Linked DNA regions of Callithrix jacchus. The protein of the gene in region 1 purifies or fractionates together with the protein of each later gene. This does not show direct contact. Links are inferred from orthologs where the notes say so. Each region holds a gene or a part of one and is shown on either strand. Other genes may lie near its edges. The genes, in order: CDH2 and CTNNA1.

Evidence for each region.
Region 2: the proteins of CDH2 (region 1) and CTNNA1 purify together in Homo sapiens (affinity purification with mass spectrometry; 4 studies listed by BioGRID and IntAct, with this or other methods). This does not show direct contact. The link is inferred for Callithrix jacchus from reciprocal best matches to the Homo sapiens genes CDH2 and CTNNA1.

What each region holds. Positions count from the first base shown.
Region 1 is NC_133514.1:71,233,185-71,238,982, forward strand, and holds part of CDH2 (cadherin-2), read right to left. Parts: intron 3,690-5,798; coding exon 3,456-3,689; intron 3,160-3,455; coding exon 2,926-3,159; intron 1,026-2,925; coding exon 886-1,025; intron 1-885. UniProt on the Homo sapiens protein: Calcium-dependent cell adhesion protein; preferentially mediates homotypic cell-cell adhesion by dimerization with a CDH2 chain from another cell. Cadherins may thus contribute to the sorting of heterogeneous cell types.
Region 2 is NC_133503.1:37,149,019-37,155,610, forward strand, and holds the start of CTNNA1 (catenin alpha-1), read left to right. Parts: upstream 1-2,866; 5' UTR 2,867-2,946; intron 2,947-3,454; exon of another isoform or gene 3,455-3,718; intron 3,719-6,592. UniProt on the Homo sapiens protein: Associates with the cytoplasmic domain of a variety of cadherins. The association of catenins to cadherins produces a complex which is linked to the actin filament network, and which seems to be of primary importance for cadherins cell-adhesion properties.

The DNA.
Region 1 (5,798 bases):
GATTTTGTAGAATGTAACCATCCTTAAGCTTGGTTCTATTCCACAGAAGTAGAGATGGTCACAGTACTAATATCACAAGTTTCAAAGATTAAGAGATAGTGGCACCTAATGTACTTAACAGAATGCCTGCCATGTAGTATAGAGCTTATACATGTTTGCTATGATAACATTGAAAATGTTGCTTCAGAGCAGAGAGAGATCTTTATTTCTCATTTATGGTCATTCTCATCCTTGAAGAGATATGCAGAACCATATGAGCATAGTGATATAAGCTCATATTATTTAATGGCCAGAAGGGGATTCTGACATCTACTGAACAATCACTTGGAGCCAGAAACCATGACAGACACTATAAATATAAAGATGAACTAGATGTTGACTCTAACTTCAAATATTTCACAAGAATGTAAGACTCTTAAGGGTAGATATTTGTTAACTCTGCCCATGGAGGTATCTTCAGGATTAAAATACTGAATTTATTTGGTAAATACTTGTGGAATAAATAGTCTTAGTGGTTTTTCTACCATACATATAAATATCTAGATCCCAAAGTAGAAGACACTTTATTTATATTTTGGATATCTAATGAAGAGAAACTATAAAGAAAAATAGATTTATCATTACACAGATTTAACCAGAATTGGGTTTAAATCCTTTGAAACAAATGTTAATTTTTATTTTTTTTTTTTACAAAATAAACACAATGACGTTTGGTACTTTGAAAAAAATTTGAGAAATAGTCAACACACATAGGAAACAATTCACCAAATGACTGATAACAGGAGGGAAACCTGATACAATTTTCTCACTGAAGTATTAACACTTCTCACTATTATATTTATATGACCATAAAATTTTCGTTTAAAGATTTAAAGCATTGCTCACCTGGTCTTCTTCTCCTCCACCTTCTTCGTCATATTTTAAAATATTGTCTCTTACATCATCTTCTGGATCAATTAAGAGTTGTTTGGCCTGGCGTTCTTTATCCCGGCGTTTCATCCATACCACAAACATCAGCACAAGGACTAGGGAGAAAAATAGTAAAAATACATAATATTGCCATTTTTAAAGCCTGGCCTATCTAGCCACTGTATTCAGTGATGATAATTTATACTTAAATGGGCTAAAAGGTTGTAATGCATCTTTCACTCTACTATCAATTTCTGACCTTAAAGAGAGACAAGACAAAGCAGGCCGAAGCACTGGAGTTAAGAGTGCGAAGGCCTGGGCTCCCATCCCTAGTGTCCTGCACACTCACTTGAGAAGTAGATCATCCTTGTTCAGTTTCACCATCCACATACAGGGACAGTAACTTTTTCTATTTTCCTTTTGGCTTGCTAGAGGATAGTTGCCCTTAATAGTGATTTGTACATTCTAGAGACACAAACAGCAACAAGTTGTTACTTGCTGTGTTATCTAGGTTGGTCAGTCATTATTACAATCCCAAATTCACAGAAAACATCACTTCTCCAGGAAGACAAAGCTTGCCCAGATGACCTGGTAGTAAATTGGAACTAAGTCAGGAACTGGATCTTGAGGTTTTGATTCCCAGAGGCTGGCGCATGCTTCAGCTAAGAAGCCTAGGGGATTCGTTTAAACACTGAAATAACATTCGACTTTAATGTTTTACACTTTGTGCCAGGTCTAGAACCATACATTTTCCAGGGATTTGATGTTAAAATCAGCACCAATTCAGTTTCCTTCAAAATGCCAGTTACTTCTTCATTGCCATAATCTGTCATACCTAAGTCTTTCTGGATAAGACTGGCATCTATGCCACATTTCAGCTGAAATGGAAACATATCCCTAAGTGCACATCTAGGAACAAATTCTGTCTAAAATCTGGGAGTATCAGTATACATCCTGAAGCAAAAGATTTAATGACTCCTATTGGAGTACATTTTTATTATTGGCCATAAAAGCAAATATCCTCCTTTTAGAGCCAGATAACATGATCTCATTTGCTATTGTTCCAGGGCTAAATCTAGCAAGCGGATTATTAGTATAGCATGCAGGTTGCAAATTATAGCCAAAGTAGTCTCCATATAGGAAGTAAAAAAGGCTCCGACTTCTATAGTAATTGCTTAGAATAAAGTGATAGAATTCTAAATTACCAGAACACTTGTAAACGGAGAAAACATAAAAGAAATAGCCAACATTTTCAAGAAAGTGATTGGTGCATAGCATGACCGCACAATAAACTAAGTCCTGCTGCTATTTCACAATAAAACACAGGGCCCATGCAATTTATTCTTTCAACCTGTAAGCTTAGAAGTGGTTCCTAAAGTACTTTCCAGTGGTTAATTTCTTGCATTCCACTGAACCAAAGATTGCAAAGTACCTTAAAAAGAAGCAATTCCTTAATCTACACTTACTCTAAAGACAATTTATTGAGCTGTGTAATCATTTCTATTATCAAATGTGCTGTATATGAAGTGCAATCTCTCACTTTTACACAGCCCTTCAGAAACAAATACCTTGATCTTCTCATGACTGGAGCACTGCTGACTGTGCTTTATATGAAGGAAGGTAAAGGAAAGCAATATATTTATTTTCCCAAATCATCAACTATGTGCCATAATTTCATACTCAAATCATAAGAATCGTGCTCAAACTTGGGATTGTGTAATGTTTTTCTATGAAAAGAGTTTACTACAGTTTCCTAAGCAATCAGCATCAGAAAGAGTAAGAGGGCACGGAAGAGGCATGCTGAGGAGGCTTGTTGCAAACCTCAAGTGCTTGAAACAACGCTCGGGGATTTTTTCATTCTAAAGTGGACTCGGCCGACCATATATGATTGGCAAGGAAATGCTGAGAGGTCAAAGGGTTGTGAGACTACTTTGCCAGGCAATAGCAACAAGTGACTTTGCTGAACACCCTAGAAGCCAAGAGAATTGAAATCTAAAAGACAATAAAAGTACTCACTAAGCAGGATGATGATGCAGAGCAGGATGGCAATGATGGCACCGGTGCCAAGCCCTGCACCCACAATCCTGTCCACATCTGTGCAGTCCCCATTGGAGTCACACTGGCAAACCTTCACGCGCAAGATGGAAATATTTGATTTGGGAGGATTACCCGAATCTGTGATTATGATGGGAACTTCATAGATACCAGCTTCAAGAAACTTTATCTTTAAATTAAGCTGAGCAAAGTCCCCTATATGAAAAAGGAAAAAGATAGTTTGACAGGCAATACTTAAAGCTATAAAAAACACAGCATTGTTCAGAATGTATTTACTACCTAAGAGTACACATAAAGTGGATTACAACTATGATGCATTAAAAATACTTTTTTGGCTTTAAAGGCCTTTAAACTTAATCTTACTTAAACTTTAAGCAGCTTTAAAAATATGTATAATGAGAAGATTACAGAGCACATAAAAATTAACTTTTCATGCCAGGCTTCAAAATCTCTCAACTGCACATATATTCAAATAATTAACCTGTTCTTACCATTAAGCCGAGTGATGGTCCAATTTCTCTTAATATTCACTGGAGATAAAGGAAGATCAAAAGCAAATGGTCCAGCATTTGGATCAATGTCATAATCAAGTGCTGTAATGTTAATTGAATTGGGGTCTGGAGTTTCGCAAGTCTCTGCCTCTTGAGGTAACACTTGAGGGGCATTGTCATTAATATCAAGTAAATAGATCTGCAGCGTTCCTGTTCCACTCATAGGAGGAATTCCTTAAAAGAGAGAAAAATCACAAACCGATGCTGAACAGTTCTCTCCAATGAACCTCAATTATGGTGAAATTCAGGCCCTTATGACTGTGTAACCTTGGAAAAATATAGTTGCTGAGGCATCTGGGCAGACCATTTCCAAAACAAAGCCACTTCTTGCTTCCCTCCTAGAATGACCCTGAGCTGCCACTGCTGCTCTGCAGAGTCTGAGCAAGGTGATGAAGAATGCCCCTGCTATGGAATCTCACACCTTCCCTGCCCCTTCTGTTCATTAGTCAGGGCTTGCACAGACCATGCTGCTCCAGGCACTGTGAGGAATGTTGGGGATGCAAACACAGGGCTCATAATCCTGTGAACTCTACTCTTTTTATGGAGAACCAAGACACGTGCATGAAAGAACGTAATAATGCTTTTTAACACTCCAACACAGCTATGACTTATTGAACCAGTCTACAGACAAGTGATACAGAACCACAGACCTCAACTCAGAAACATCATGCAGAAGAGAAATGGTATTTACTAACCAACTACTTGCTTTTAGATCATATTAGGCAGCTCTACGTGCATTTTCATCGTAATCCTATGACACAGGTTTAAACAGATGAACCTAAGTCTGTAAACTGCTCATGGCCACACACTCTTTAAGTGGTGGAGTTGTTACTAAAGATGGGTCGGCCTGACCTCAAACCCATTCTCATTCCACTATAATAAAATGCTGTCTCCACCACTTCATGTGATAATTTAGTCTGGTGTTTTGCTTCTGCTATATTGTAAATATTCACACATGCATATATATATATAATATTTATGAATATTTTATAAAGAATGCTATACAATGAAGACCAGAGATTTAAGTGACCTGTCAAAGATCACGTAACTAGGAAGGTACACATACATACACAATCCTGGGGAGGGAATAAGGGGAAATCTCTATCAACTTCTATGAGGAACATGATAGTTCTAAGAGCAGGGAGAGCTGAACTGGAGGGGTATAGTGGCTGTTATAACACCACTATGACCACTATGATATTCAACAGTAAGTTTGAGGGATTTTAAATTTATGATCACATTTAATATTTATTATACTTTTATAACAACTATATAGAATAAGTTTAAGTAGCGAAAGAATTTATCAATAATGAAACTAAGGCATACGGCATGTAAGAGCTTGCCTAATCATTAAGGAACATAGTTGGGGCTCCAAATCTAGCCTTGTCACTTAAAGTAAAGTGCACTTTCAAAGCATCACAGCTACATACATTTAACAGGTCACTTCTCTCTCTTATCAAAAGCCCTTTCAATTAGAAAACAATCTTCCTTGGTGAATAAATAAATCTGGTTGTAACTCACACCCAACATACATACATATAATTTTATGGCTCTTTGGATCTCAACATAATGATTCAAGATATATTACTTTCAGTTCTACTGTAGAAGAAAACTACTGTTTATTTAAGGCAAAAAAAAAAAGCATAAAACAGGTACTAATGCTATGCTTTGATGTAAAATGGCAAAAGCTATTCCTACAAAGTTCCAACACTAAATATTAAACAGGAGGTCCCATACTGGAAAGGAGAAGAAATATTTCTTTGGCCATCACTATACAGATTTTCTATAGCTAGTAATCTCATTAAATTTTAGTATAAGTATTTAGAAAAGTTCATTGATATTATTCTTATCGAAAGTATTGATATATTTTTATAATGTAAAATATTTTGCATTTGAAAATTGTAAACATCAAATTCAACCACCAAATTGAAGCCTGCTATTTTTTTATTAAATACCAACATTCATATTCATAAACATGAAAATGTTAAAATATTTAAAATAATATGTGGTTCAGTTTTGAAACTATTAATACACAATAGGAATACTTATTTGAGTGGTTAGTTTGTGTCAGCCACTGTTTCAAATGTTTCACATATATATATAAAAGTCATTATATCTCAGTTAAAACACTGTGAATTAGGCACTGATACCTATCTCTAGTGATACCGGCTCATGGCCACACACTCTTTAAGTGGTGGAGTCTTAAATGGTGGTTGTCTTTAACAACAACAAAAAAGGAAACATATATTTAAAATCCCATGCCAATCCCACAGATTCAAAGTG
Region 2 (6,592 bases), on another chromosome or scaffold:
GTGCCTGGCCAGTGCCACACTTTAAAACAATGATATTTCATGAGAATTCCCTTAGTATTGGGAGGACAGCACCAAGCTGTCAGGAATCCTCCTCCATGACCCAAACACCTCCCACCAGCCCCACCTTCAACACTGGGGATTACAGTTCAACATGAGATTTGGGCAGGGACAAACGTCCAAAATATATCAATTATGTTCTGAGTTAGCCAGGTTAAGTAGGGGGGCGCCAAAGCCACCCTAGGCAGAGGGGACTACAGGAGCAAAAACCCTGCAGCCAGAAACAGGACAGGGGTAGTTGGACAAGAATGACCTTGTCAGGGTTTGCCTTTCCCTTTTTTTTTTTTTTTTTTGAGACCGAGTCTCACTGTGTTGCTCAGGCTGGAGTGCAGTGGTGCATCATGGTTCACTGTAGCCTTGAACTCCCAAGCTCGAGTGATTCTGCCACCTTAGCCTCCCAAGTGGCTGGGACTACAGGTAGGTGCCACCACGTCCAACTATTTTTTTGTTTTTGTTTTGTAGAGATGGGGTTCTGTCATGTTGCTCAGGTTAGTCTCCTGAGCTCAGATGATCCACCCACCTTGGCCTCCTAAAGTGCTGGGGATTACTTACATGAGCCACTGTACCCAGCCTTTTTTTTTTTTTTTTTTGAGACGGAGTCTTGCTGTGTCACCAGGCTAGAGTGCAGTGGCACCATCTCAGCTCACTGTAACCTCCACCTCCTGGGTTCAAGCAATTCTGTCTCAGCCTCCCAAGTAGCTGGGACTACAGGTGCCCACCACCATGCCCACCTAATTTTTGTATTTTTAGTAGAAACAGGGTTTCACCATGTTGGCCAGGATGGTCTCAATCTCTTGACCTTGTGATCTGCCCGCCTCGGCCTACCAAAGTGCTGGGATTACAGGCGGGAGCCAAGGGGTCCCGCTGCCTCTTTTGCTTAAAAGTGGTTCTCTCCCCACTTCATAGTCCTGTTGCCCTTTGTCAGCATCTCTTAACTAGCACAGGCCCACAGTGCTTTGAATTACAGTGGCACCTTCACCCACAAATGTTCACTGGGCACTCCTTAGGGGATGGGTGATGTGCTGGAAGCTGTAGGAGGTACAGCTCCTGCTTTCCAGCAGTTTGGATTCCCTTGGGGGAGAGGGAGATGTAAGGAGTAAAGGGTAAACATGGTGAGGGCAAGCCTCCCTAGCACTCTGCTCTCTGTTCAGCATAAGGCCAGCAGTGGACATTGTTGTCTTGCATTATTTCAGATTTATATGCCAATAATGAAATCCATCTTGTTCATTATCCCATGAGCAGGGGAAACAGCATTAGAGTTTTCTATACGAGGCTGATAGGGAACATGTAGTATTTTTTGTTTTTTGTGTTATTTTGCTTTGTAATTTTTTGTTTTTTGGAGTATTCACCATGAAGATAAGAAAAGGTGAGAATAAAGTTCCCTAAATGACTGGAGGGATAGAGATACAAGTCAGATCCCTCAGATTTGGTGGTGGTGGTGGTGGGGGGAACAAGCTCGGAGGGGGGGAACAAGCTGGGAGGGGAGGATGAGCTCTTGGGGTGGGACGGGAACAAGCTCAATAAGGGACATCTGCTGTGGTGCCTCTCTCTTTTGTGTTTCTTTTGTAAATGTCCTCCCCGCAAGGTGGCTCACGCCTGTAATCCCAGCACTTTGGGAGGCTGAGGAGGATATATTGAGTCCATGAGTTTGAGACCAGTGTGAGTGTGCAGTTCCAGTTACTCCGGAGGCTGAGGTGGGGAGGGTCGGTTGTCCAGTAATTTGAGGTTGCAGTGAGCGGTGATCGCGACACTGCACACCAGCCTAGGAGACAGAGGAAGATCCTGCCTTAAAAACAAAGAGAAAAAAAAAAAAAAGAAAAAAGCCGGGCGCGGTGGCTCATTCCTGTAATCCCAGCACTTTGGGAGGCCGAGGCGGGCGGATCACGAGGTCAGCAGATCGAGACTTGGCCAACAACGTGAAACCCCGTCCCTACTAAAAACACAAAAAAATTAGCCGGGCGTGGTGGCAAGCGCCGGTAGTCCCAGCTACTCTGGAGGCTGAGACAAGAGTATCGCCTGAACCTGTGAGGCAGAAGTTGCAGTGAGCCGAGATCGCGCCACTGCACTCCAGGCTTCGCGACAGTGAGTCTCCGTCTCAAAAAGAAGAAGAAAAAAGAAATGTCCTTAATTAAGAGGGCTTCGGGTGTCCGCATCTGTGGAGTGAGGGGACGGGTTACGTGAATTCTCGAGGCGCTTCCACCTCACATTATGAAAGGTCGTTAGAGTCACATCCTAGTTTCACTCTGTCCCGAAGCAGTGGGGCCTTTCCTTGGCCTCCGCTTCCTCTTCTGTAAACAAGAGAGTGGGCTTAGATCACTTTTCTAGGAGCCTGTGGCTCCGGGACATCTGTGACACTCTTGCGGGGCGCGTGCCCAGGACCCCGCGTCGCAGCGGCGCATCTCTGGGACTCGGCCGGTGTAGGGGGCCGCGCCCGGAGCCTCACCTGTGCTCGGAGCCGTGACTCACCTGCCCTCCCCCGTCCTCCCAGCCCGCGGGCTGTTCCAGGAGTTATCGCTCCTCCTTCCTCTCCGGGTCACTCCTGGCCTAAGCTCCCACCAGGGGTCGGGAAGGAAGGAATTCTGAGGTGGGCGGCGGAGAGGAAGAGGTCCCCCGGGGGTCCCGGGCCAGCGTCGCCAGACTCTTCGCGGTGGGGGCCCTAAGCGGAGACCGTAACGGCGGGGAAGAGCGGGCGGGTCAGCAGCGGGAGGCGCCGGGAAGAGCGGGCCGGAGGGAGGTGCCGGGAAGGGCGGGCGGGGCGGGGGCCGCGCGGGGGCGGGGGCAGGGGCGCGGGGCGGCCCATTTCCTTCTCGGAGCTGGACTGTAGGGAGACAAAGCAGCAGCCGTCGGCTTCGGGCCTCCGGTATCCAGCGCTCGCCCTACTCGCTGCAGGTAACTTTGCACCTCCCTCCCCGCGGGCGCGGGCTCTCTGGCCGGGCCGAGAGGGTCCTTGGGCCGGGCCGTCCCAAGCTGGGCCCCGCAAGCGGCGGGACGGTGGGCGGGCGGGGCGCGGTCTCTTCGTCGACGTCGCCGGGAATTGGGCTCCGGGCGGGCGTGGGTCCCGCGTCGGGCCGGCTGCCCCTTTCCCCGCGGGGTCCGAGCCTGGGACCCGGGCAGGCGCGGCCGGCACTTCCCGGCGCTCGGGGTGTCGGGGGGCCGCGGCGGCTGGGGAGGAGAAGCCACATACCCAGTGCCGCCGCCGCGTTTCCTCTTGGAAAAGTTTTCTCGCGGTTTCCAAACTTTGTTGCCGCGGCCTCCGCGCGCGCGCGCGCGCCTGCCCTGCACCGGGCCCCTCGGCCGCCTTCCTTCCCTGGGGCGGCGCGTCTGGGAGCCGCTTTCCGGGGAAGTGATTGTCGTCTGGTTCTGAGGCTTCCCTGCCCCCTCCCCCTCCCCAGCCGCCGAGACTTCCCCGTGGGGCGGCGGCGCGGACGCTGGCTCCGCGAAGCTGGAGGCCGGAGGCCAGAGCCCGGGCATCTCCCAGACATCCTCGGTACAGCGTGCCACACCCGTGTGGACTTTTGGCGTGACCGTCCACCTGGACTCAGGGATTACTCAGCCTTCCTAGGTTTCTTGTCGGTTGGACGCACTTCGCTTTCGGCCCTAGTTTTCGGGAGTGGCATTCGAGATTTTTTTTTTTTTTAATTGTTGACTTTTAAAGGAGCGGGTATGTGCGTGCGAATGTGAAGCACTTGTTGGAAAAAATGTTGCCTGAATGAATGCCTGACCTTTGCTTGGCTGCAGTGGCTTCCCAGTAATGCAGGCAGCGGTTGGCCCAGTTCCAGGGTTGACTCCCTCTTATGTCTTCCTGCATCTTGGTCAACATTTTTTTTTTTTGGTGCCTGTGTTCTGTACATAATTTACAGTTATTTGGAAAAGAGCGAGATATGTTAAGTCTCCAACTAAATTCGGGGCATTTTATATTTATGATGAAGGAAATGCTTACATCATTGTATTGTTGGGACAGGATAGGCATTTTGTGGAGTGGTTATTTGTGTTTAGTTAGAAGTGATTTTTTAAAGACCGGACAGGTGGGTGTTACTTTAAGGAACAGAGTTTGTAAATCAAATTAATTAGGATGTGTTATTTTGTTTTACAGGAGGAATGAGTCTAGGAATTATCCATAGTTTCTGCCTTATTATTTATCATCTGGACTTTTTTTTTTTTTGAGACAGAGTCTTGCTTCGTCGCCAGGCACCTGGCTGGAGTGCAGTGGTGCGATGTTGGTTCACTGCAACCTCTGCCTCCCAGGTTCAAGCTGTTCTCCTGCCTCAGCCTCCGGAGTAGCTGGGACTACAGGCGCATGCCACATGCCCAGCTAATCTTTGTGTTTTTAGTAGAAACGGGGTTTCACCATGTTGGCCAGGATGGTCTCGATCTCTTGACCTCGTGATCCGCCTGCCTCGGCCTCCCAAAGTGTTGGGATTACAGGAGTGAGCCACCGGGCCCAGCTCCATCTGGACTTTCGAACAGACTTTTTTTTTTTTTTAAAGAAAGGTCTCAGTCCGTTGCCTGGGTTGAAGTGCAGTGGCACGATCACAGCTCACTGTGGCCTCTGTCTCCTGGGCTCAAGTGATCCTCCCACCTCAGCTTTCCATGTAGCTGAGAGTACAGGCACGCGCCACCACACTCGGCTAATTTTTGTATTTTTGGTAGAGATGGGGTCTCTGTCTTGGCCACATTGGTCTCGAAATCCTGGGCTTAAGTGATCCTTTTGCCTCAGTCTACCAAAGTGTTGTGATTACAGGCCTGAGCCAGGGCACTTGGCCCCATCTGGATTTTTATTCAGTTAAAGAATAATTTTTTAATCTGCTTTAGAGTTCACAGTATAATAGAGGAGGCACACACACCTGGTATAGTACAGAGAGACTGCAGTAAGTGCCAGTCTCTCTGTTAAACTAATAGTTTCGTTAGTATAATAGTACTAATGAAACTGTTTTAGCTACTGTGTGAATCGAATCTTACCTAATGCTAACGAAAGAAACTTGTGGAGGCACTGAGAGGGGCCAGCCAATAAGTTTTATTTGAATAAGTCCAGAAAGGCTTCCAGGAGGTGATGGCATTTGATATGGATGAAACATGAGTTACGTTTTTTTAAATGAAGGGAGAAAGTCATGAGAAGTATAAAAGAGCATAGGAATTGAGGAATTGTGGTATCACTCTCCTGATTTTCTTTTCCTTTTTGGCTCATCTCAGTTTCTCTTTTTTTTCCTTGCCATCACTCTTTCCTCTCATACCAGGGGTTCTTTCCAATGTCTCATTGTTCTCTGCACCACTGATGTGGCATCACCTTCATTCCCATCAGTGATACTTAGTTCATACAGTGGCTTAGAGATGAGAGGTGCCTTCTTCCAAGATGAGAATCACTGCTCTGTGCAGCCTCTTCTCAGCCTTATATACTAAAAGCCTGAGCTTTTATTTTAGTGCAGATGTGTCTCCTGATGCACATGGTCACCAGACCCAGTCTGGTCTCAAAATCCTGGGCTCAAATGAGCCCCCTGCCTCACCTGGATATAATTTTTAAAAAATGTAATTCCTAAGGAAAAAAAAATTAATTCCTAAAAAGTCATAGTAAGCAATGAAGTTACGTGGTGTTGCTTGTGATTGTTATTATTACTGTTTTTGAGACAGAGTCTCTGTTGCCCAGGCTATAGTACAGTGGCAAAATCTTGGCTCACTGCAACCACTGCCTCCTGGGTTCAATCGATTTTCCTGCCTCAATCTCCTGAGTAGCTGGGATTACAGGCATCTGGTACCACACCCAGCTAATTTTTGTATTTTTAGTAGACATAAGGTTTCACCATGTTGGCCAGGCTGGTCTTGAATTCCTGACCTCAGGTGATCCACCTGCCTCGGCCTCCCAAACTGCTGGGATTACAGGCGTGAGCCACTACACTGACCCTATTATTGTTAATTTGCCATTGATTATATGTCTGTTACCTGATAAATTATGATTCATCCCATCCTCCCTCTTTTCCCCTCCCTCCCTCTTCCCCTCTCCCCCATCCCAGGCTGGTCTTAAAATCCTGGACTCAAATGATCCGCCTCGCCTGGAAATAATTTTAAAAAAACGTAATTCCTAAAAGGCCATAATAAGCAATGGAGTTATGTGGTGGGGTGTGTCCTGTTGTTAATTTGCCATTGATTATATGTCTATGCTGATGAACTATAATAACATGAATAACATGCTCTTAGGAGTTTTTGTTTTTGAGATGGAGTCTTTCTCTGTCTCCCAGGTTGGAGTGCAATGACGTGATCTTGGCTGACTGCAACCTCTGCCTCCTGGGTTCAAGTGATTTTCCTGCCTCAGCTTCCCGAGTAGCTGGGATTACAGGTGCCCCCCACCATGCCTGGCTAATTTTGTATTTTTAGTAGAGATGGGGTTTCTCCCTGTTGGTTAGGCAGGTTTCGAACTCCTGACCTCAGGTGATGCGCTTGCCTTGGCCTGCAAAAGTGTTGGGATTACAGGCATGAGCCATAGTGCCTGGCCGGGAGTTTTTAATCTTATGAGACTCAGACTGAAAGTTTGAACTTTTGTTAT